2 linked regions of the Coturnix japonica genome follow. The protein of the gene in region 2 purifies or fractionates together with the protein of the main gene of each other region. This does not show direct contact. Links are inferred from orthologs where the notes say so. Each region holds a gene or a part of one and is shown on either strand. Other genes may lie near its edges.

Evidence for each region.
Region 1: the proteins of TOLLIP (region 2) and CSTF1 purify together in Homo sapiens (co-immunoprecipitation; 3 studies listed by BioGRID and IntAct, with this or other methods). This does not show direct contact. The link is inferred for Coturnix japonica from reciprocal best matches to the Homo sapiens genes TOLLIP and CSTF1.

The regions. Positions count from the first base shown.
Region 1 is NC_029535.1:10,852,420-10,856,689, reverse strand, and holds the start of CSTF1 (cleavage stimulation factor subunit 1), read left to right. Parts: upstream 1-1,234; 5' UTR 1,235-1,290; coding exon 1,291-1,419; intron 1,420-2,002; coding exon 2,003-2,173; intron 2,174-2,629; coding exon 2,630-2,825; intron 2,826-3,863; coding exon 3,864-4,141; intron 4,142-4,270. Other genes in the region: AURKA (aurora kinase A), read right to left, coding at 23-76. UniProt on the Homo sapiens protein: One of the multiple factors required for polyadenylation and 3'-end cleavage of mammalian pre-mRNAs. May be responsible for the interaction of CSTF with other factors to form a stable complex on the pre-mRNA.
Region 2 is NC_029520.1:9,915,361-9,919,171, forward strand, and holds part of TOLLIP (toll-interacting protein), read right to left. Parts: intron 2,324-3,811; coding exon 2,174-2,323; intron 1,006-2,173; coding exon 823-1,005; intron 1-822. UniProt on the Homo sapiens protein: Component of the signaling pathway of IL-1 and Toll-like receptors. Inhibits cell activation by microbial products. Recruits IRAK1 to the IL-1 receptor complex. Inhibits IRAK1 phosphorylation and kinase activity.

The sequences.
Region 1 (4,270 bases), on a different chromosome or scaffold from region 2:
ATCAACTCGATAAGCCTCTCACCTTAATAACACGAGAAGGGTTCCCAGGACAGTTCTCTTTTATCTTCTTGTCCATAGTGCCCGAGAAAAGCAAGATACACTTTCACCTATGGAGAATGAAACAGAGAACAGGGCTGAGCCTCCAAGCAGCGCCACTCCTCGGACGTGCTGCTCTCCCTTTGCCCCCTAGGCCTCACTTTAGGCCTCCCCCTAGGCCTGCCCGCCCCAGCTCCGTAACGGCCGGGCCGTACCCACACCACACGCCGGCTGGGCCGCCCTCGAGGCAGGTAAGGCCGCAGGTAAGGCCACAGCACAGCACCACGCGAGGCCCGACCCGGCCCAGCCGTCCCCACACTCACCTCGGCCCGCGGCCGCTACAACTGTTTGAATTCAAACCTCCCTCCCTTAAATAGCCTTTAAAATTCCGCCCCCTCGCCATTGGCTCCTCTCCTGGCATCCGCGCCCTCCGATTGGCCGCTTTTCAGTCTACCTGCCTTCCCATTGGCTCTCCTGACTCCCCGCTCGTCGCGAGGCCTAGACTCGTCGCCGTGAGCTTGCGGTGCGCATGCGCAACGGCGGCCCGCTGCGTACCCGCGTCGTCCCGACCCGCCCACCCTTTGGGCGGCGTTTACGTTACATACGTACTTTACGTACCGTCTGTCCGCCGCTTGTTTCTTCCGTACTCCAAGTGCGTGGATCGAGCTCACACACTTTCTCTCCGTAAGTCTCAGCCCGGCCGCGGTCTCTCGTTACGCAAATCGCGTTACGTCCAGCCCACCCACCTGTGGCAGCGCTACAACTCCCGCTCAACGAGGCCTCGGGGGTGAAGGGCTCCAGGTTAGTGCTGCATCCAGCCGGGCTCACACCTCGATCCTCCTCAGCGTCACCTGGGGCTGAGGGAGACGCGGCGCTGCCACCTCGCGTGAAGCCGAGTGGGAGCTGGGGGCCATTGTGTGCTGAGGTGCGACGGGCAGCAGCAGGAGGAGCATCAGGCCTCAGCTTCGCACGGCGCTGCTCCACGTGCCCTTAACGAGCCTTAAGGGGGCACCAACCCAGCTCAGCACGAGGGGACGCCCGGCTGTTGGCTGCACAGCGCCCGGTGCTGCTCGTGCATTGCGGAGCGGCTCGTGGTGCTGCTCTGTCTCACAGCACTGAGGGACCCGCTGCCTGAAGAAGCGATTGAAGGTATTGAAGGCAACTTATCAGCGGCTCCGCGTCCTTAACGACCCGGCTCGAGGGCGGTCCCGGTGTGTTGGTGTCGACAAGCGGGACACCATAGGGAAAAAGAAGATGTCCGGTCGTCGCGTGGCTGCAGCGTGTGACCGACGGCAGCTGCCGCGGGGCATGGGGAGTATGGGGAGCATGGCAGCTCCGCTGCTCGACCCGCGGCCGCTACGGCTGCCGTTTCTGGAGGCTGACGTGAGTAGCACGGGGCTGTGGGTTGGGTGGCGGTGGGACATGGAAGGGGCTGAGCTGGCTGAGCTGGCGGCCCTAAACACTCGTGAGGCCTGTGTGCCGTGGTGCCCCATGGCAGGTGTTGCGGTGTCCGGCAGCACCGTGCGGGTATTGTAGCCCAAACACAGACTCGCAGCCCCCAGCTGCGGTGCTCATAGCAGCTCTACGCTCCGATGGGCAGCACGGGGCGGTACTGGGCAACCTGATCTAGTAAAGGTGTATGTTTGGTGGCCCTGCCAGGCAGGGGGGTTGGAACTACGTGATCCTTGAGGTCCCTTCCAACCCGGGTCATTCTGTGTGTCTACGGGCCGCCTGGGCCTGCTCGAGGCTGTGCCCTGCCCGACACGTCACCCCACGGGCTGCAACCGGGTCCGAGCCACGGTGGAGGGGGCGTTGGATCCCGGGATCCCCGCTGGGCTCCGCTCTGCAGCCCGCCCCTTCCCCACCGGGCGGGGGGTCCTTTAACAAGGCAGGGGTCCTGTTAGAGCGGCCCGTCGCGTCCTTAACGCGTCACCGGTGACGTGACGCCGCCGTTCTCTCCCCTAAGAGTCGGCTCCAATCGATGTGCGGGCGCTCGATGCAGCAGCCCTCGCGGAGGAGCGTTCTTCGGTCTCGGCCGCCGCCGCCGCCTCCTCCTTTACCGCCGCCGCCGATCGATGCGCTCAGAGCTCCGGTCGCCATTTTAGGGGCAGAGCGAGGGAGGCAGAAGGAAGGGTCGGTAGGTACCGGCGGCCTCGTGTCGTTCTCCGCGTTCGGCTGCGAGGCCTCGGCTCGTTGCAGCGCAATAATGAGCTGCTCCCTCCGCCCGGCTCTGCGCTGTGCCCGCCCCCATTCAACCCCGTTCCCCACACGCCCCCTCCCGCTCCGTCCCCCTGCCCACTACTGCCAGCAATGGGCGCTACCAGCCCCATAACCCAAACCTGCTTTTTTTTCTCTTATTTTTTTTATTTTCTCCACGTTATTTCCTCCTTAATACAATCCTTGCTCCTTTTATTCGTCGGGTTTTTGTATCTGCAATAAAGATGCAGCAGATTTCTCTTGTTTTCTCTGTCTTTCGTTTCTCAGTCTCACCTAAAGTTTCAGTGTCATTACTGCTGATACTCACATTAAATAAAAGCTTTAATCATTTCATGCGACTCTCTTGTATGTGACTCTTCCTATTTATTTATTTCAGGCCCCTCCGAGGCATTCCTTGCTCACAATGTATAGGACAAAAGTCAGCTTGAAAGACCGTCAGCAACTTTATAAGCTAATCATTAGTCAGCTCCTGTATGATGGATACATAAATATTGCCAATGGTTTAATAAACGAGATCAAACCACAGTCAGTTTGTGCGCCATCTGAACAACTGCTGCATCTTATTAAATTAGGTAAGATGGGGTTAAAACAAAAGAACTGCTGTAAAGTTTGTGCTCCCAAATCCTTGGATTCAATCTTTGTGAGTGCTGTGGTGTTACTGAGAACACATCTCTTCTGTTTTCTATGCCTTTGTAGCAAACCACAGAGTTTTTATATCTTTATGTGTAGCCTGTGTTTCATTCTTTAGCACTGGAAGTGCTAAACAGGATCACAAGTCTACACATTTAATAGAAAGTTAGATCCATTACTACAGCACAACTCTATGTGGTTGTTCCTGGACATGTTGGGAATGGAGGAGTAAGTCCTTCCATTGGCCACCCTCATTGGCCTTTATATACCACTCTGCAGGAAACAAGCTTCACAGTGTAGGATCTTGGCAAAGGTGTGTTTCTTGTTCTCTCTGTGCGTCTTCCTGAAAGTATGAATGTGCTGCAGAAAGTAATCAGAATTCCTGAGCTGCTGTTGGAACAAGCCAGCTGGGTTGCTGGAAGAGTCCTAACAATGACAACATGTCTCCTCTCTATTGTAACTGAACTGGTTCTGCTGCTTGAACTAGTTGATTTCTATGGGTAAAAGTGTGGAGCCTCATCAGTCTGAAAGAAGATTACTAGGCTTGGCAGTCTGCAGATGAAAGCAGAACAAACTTTTCTGTGAAGCTGGGCACTTAAAACTTGTCTGTCCTTGCCTTGGTGCAGCTTGCAGTGCTGAACTGGCTGTATATGTATATCATGTAGATGCATAATGCAAATCAAAGTGATTCTTTAAGATGGGTTTCAAGTAATAATTTTCATTATTTAGTATTTATTTTTAATATTTTTTTTATATCTTTATTCTGTGTTTAGTCAAACTGCCTTTCGCTCTTCATGAGAGATATTGCTGTTCTACATGTAGATCTGTTCTGCTAGCTTAGCTTTGTTCAGCATGGGCTTTCTCTCCTAAATCCTGAGCTTCAGAGCTACCAAAGAAGTGTGTAGGATAGATACGAGCATAGCCTGCCTGTCTAAAGAGGAGGTAAGCCTGTTTTAAGAATGTCAACTTTCTCTTTTCAGGGATGGAGAATGATGACAGTGCTGTTCAGTATGCAATTGGACGGTCAGATACAGTAGCTCCAGGCACAGGAATCGACTTAGAATTTGATGCAGATGTACAGACCATGTCTCCTGAGGCTTCTGAGTATGAGACTTGTTATGTCACATCTCATAAGGGACCGTGTCGTGTAGCAACGTATAGCAGAGATGGACAGCTAATAGCTACAGGATCTGCTGATGCCTCAATAAAAATTCTTGATACGGAGAGAATGCTGGCCAAAAGCGCTATGCCCATAGAGGTAAAATATGACTTGAATCATAGTCACTGTGTGAATTCTTGAGCTGATGTCTCTGTTTCGTGCCATGTCTGTGCCTTGTGGCTGGCTCAGTGGGTTGGACTAAATATCTGTCTCAGTGTATTTCCTATT
Region 2 (3,811 bases):
AAAGAAGGGCAAGTCATAGACATTTGCCTCAGTTGTAGCCTCTAACATTACCTGAGAACACAAGTTTGTTCTAAGTCAAAGTCAACATCCCCAAATGGAACAGTTAACACATAGGCACATACTCCCTGCTGCCAATAACAACATCTAGTAGAATAACACATTAGAGTTTATGACAGTACTACTCTCATAAGCAACGTTTGCAGAGCAGATTATTCAGCTGAGCTGTTAATCAGATGTACTTAATCTCCGAGAAACTGAAATCTGTAACTTGTAAACAGTTTATCACCACTGTATGTTAAGGAAAACATACATAAGTGGACATGGAGGGACTTGCCATTAAATTCAAACATAGATAGAGTTGATTCTGTGAATTATTCCAAGTGACTACACATTCCATATATGATTGGTTAATTCTCAGTACTAATGGGCTTGCAGTTAACCTTTATGTGGGCTAGAACAATGAAAAATCTCAGGCTAACCCAGCAATGTAAATAGTTGCTATTTTTAATAGGAGAAGTAGAGAATATAAGGCTGCAACACATCTTGACAGTGAAGAACAGCTCAGATGACACTTCTCTTTATTTGCTGGGAGCTCCTCTAACATTATGGTATTCCAAGCTCTGGCATTCTTGGGCTGATGTTCTTGGAGTAGAGCACAGCTTCACATATTGCTGCTCTTAAGAATCTGATAAATCAGCACTATCTCCCAGAGAGAGCAGCTAAGAAACAACCTTTGCTAACTCAATTCTACCTTGCAGGACTCCACCCAAACCTCAGCCCAACCAAGGGATGAGGAAACAAAAGCAGTATCAACATTCTGACCTCATCAAATATCTCTAGGTAAAAAGAGTCCACACCCGGAGGAACAGTGCACTGAATAACTTTGTTCCAGCGAGGGTTCTTGGCTCCATTATGTGCTGTGGGGGTTTCATACACAGCGTACCCCAGCCGTATCCGGCAGTAGGGATCCATGCGGGTCATTCCATAGTTCTTTGCCAATTTTGCCTGGAAAAAAAAAAAAAAAAAAGAAAGCCCTTTAAGCGTGTAATATGTACAATAACTTGTGGTTACAATTAGATCACAAAGAATCAAACGTCAAACAAATACATTAAATTGAGGTAGAGAAAAAAAAGTCAATGATGTCATTAAGTGCTTGAGAAAACTTGACAAGACTCTTTTTAAAGTGTCTTGTACAGAAAATACACATCTTCACCAAAGCTAAAATTACCTCATAATAAAACCAGCAGACATATGGTTACAAGGGAATTGTATTATGTTCAGTTTTCGCCTTGATTTCTGCCCTCCAATGGAACTCCACATTGCACGTAGCCTACCCTCTTTTACTGAAATATTTCAAAGGATGAAATAACAGATTTGAGAATATCACACCATGTTTGCTGTAAAAAGAAACCACTTAGAGTAAAATCCAGCTGTTTATACTTTTAAGATATGAGAGCGTGTATTTGATGTTACATAATTCAGAGGGCAACTTCAGTGTGATGGTACTGGAAGGACACAGATACAGCACATAATCTGAAGTTACCCAATATACTTTCATTATAACATCAGGGGAACAGAAAAAAAACAAGTTTGTGACGGTCCTAAAGACAGCACCAAGTACTGCTGCACAGCTATGTCAAGCAGAACACAGGTTTATATGACCTATTGCTCTAACCTGTAAAAGATTGCATAGAATTAGTTTTTATGCTTAAAAAAAAAAAAAGAAAAAAGGTGCCTATGATGCCTCTCATCTGCAGGAGGTTTAAGGAGTTCAAACAGTTGAGATTTGCAACAGATTTAGGCACAGCAGCTGCAGCTCTGGCCAGAAAGGCCTTTCATACTTCAAGACATACACTTACACTGTTCCTTGTAAATGTGGGCTATGCAAATTAAAGTAGGAAAGTTAGCACCCATGTTATTTTTCTCTCTAGACCCTGAAGTCCTGAGATTAAGAAGCTTGACATAAAATGCTACCAGAACACAGCATATAAATTATCAATGTAATAATTTAGGAGAATATAATCAACAGCACTTAAATTCATTACGATTGATGCACAACCTTGAAAACTACACGCTTCCTTAAAACCAAGCAGTTGAGTAGAACATTCAACACAAAGACTTTTGTGGCCACTGACAAAAAAATGACTGAAGTTTCTATTGGTACAATTTATACCTGTACTACAGTAATGCTCAGTCTGCCTACTGTACTCATGGGTCCTCCATATTGCAGCTGTTGAGCTGCCTGGGCGTCCAGTTGGATTTGCTGTTGCTGCCGGGTTGGAGTAATACGAAGAAAGTCTTGAGGAAGTTCACCAACATACACCTGGAAAAAACAATAAAAGAAAAGATTTTAAGCTTAGAGCTCCCACTTTCATAACAAACAATGGAAAGGAACAAAAGACCCAAGAACCTCGGGAAAAACACTCAGCATTTTACTCTAGTTTTGACAGCATGAACAAATAAATAAATAAAGCACCTGTCACACAGCACGGCAGAAAAACAACTAAGCTCATCTCTACTGCCTATAGAGCTGCTTCCATATTTAATAAAAATCTATCTAACGTATGAAGACAAAAGACATTGCAATTTCTTACATTACTGTCTCAGACAGGATTACTCAACTGTGTATCCAGCAAACACATGCCTACAGAACATGCTGTCAGAAGCGAGGAGGCCCCTAGGACATCCCTTTTGAAGATTAGACAGCACTTGCACGCCAAGATTGCATCCTTGAGATAGCAACAGTCACACCAACTGTGATTTGGCAAGAGACGCATTTGGCTCCGTTGAAAAGCCTCAGGGATCCTGGCAGCAGTAGGTGTCACATGGCAGAGAGGAAGTGTATCAAAGCCACTGAAGAGGAAGTGCTGGCTGCCTGCTGCTGGGAGAGATGGGAAAGATGCACTTCTGCTCACACGCATCTTAGAATTTCATGCTGAAAAAGTAATTTTACAGAAGGGAACCATTTTCAAGTGTCTTTAAAGTGCCACTTTACAGAGGCATTCCCTCTACTACTGTAACAGTCCAGGAAGAAGGTGAAATTCAACACCGCCCAATCATTAACTGCGCCATAAAAATTCCATCTAACAGCTGAATTTACTAGATTCATTTTTCATGTAAGACAATTATAATGGCGTCACCATCAAACTTAATTCTTCAGGCAGATGTCGAGCAGGCATTCATAACAGTAAGTCTGCCTTGTAATCACTTCTTAATAAGCTTTACCGACAGCGTTGCAAATCAAGAATATGAATTACCTAGGAACAGAACATCGCGCCTTCTGTCTGCTAGAAACATCTAATACCTCATTTTGAGGTTCTTTAGAGCAAAAACGCAGCAGATGTATCAATCAAACAACCACCACCCACAACCATCAAGTTACTACTCAGACCAATGGCTCTGTGGAGCTGTTCAGGCCTGGGCTGCCTTAGACTCCTCTTCATGTTACCTCTCAATCATCATGCAACACTAAGTGGCACCAAGGCAACTATAAAGGAAGCTTGGTTTACTTGGCTTCCTGATACCCCGTCTAGCCTCAGCAATTTCGATTCTATACAACTAATATTACTGCATGAATCTCCAACTTCTGTAGAACTGTAGCCCAAGGCTCTACTTAAGCTTCTCAATTTAGAGACAGGCAAAGGAAAGATCTACATTTAATAAGCTTTAAAAATTAATAAGCCTTAATGAATAATAAAGCAAAATAAAAAGGGTAGCAAACTGCAAGCTATCAGACAGTTCTTAACTCATTCTCATGATTCTTTTTGCTAGAAATTTACCACCTGCTTTGCTTTCATCCATCTCCAAGCAC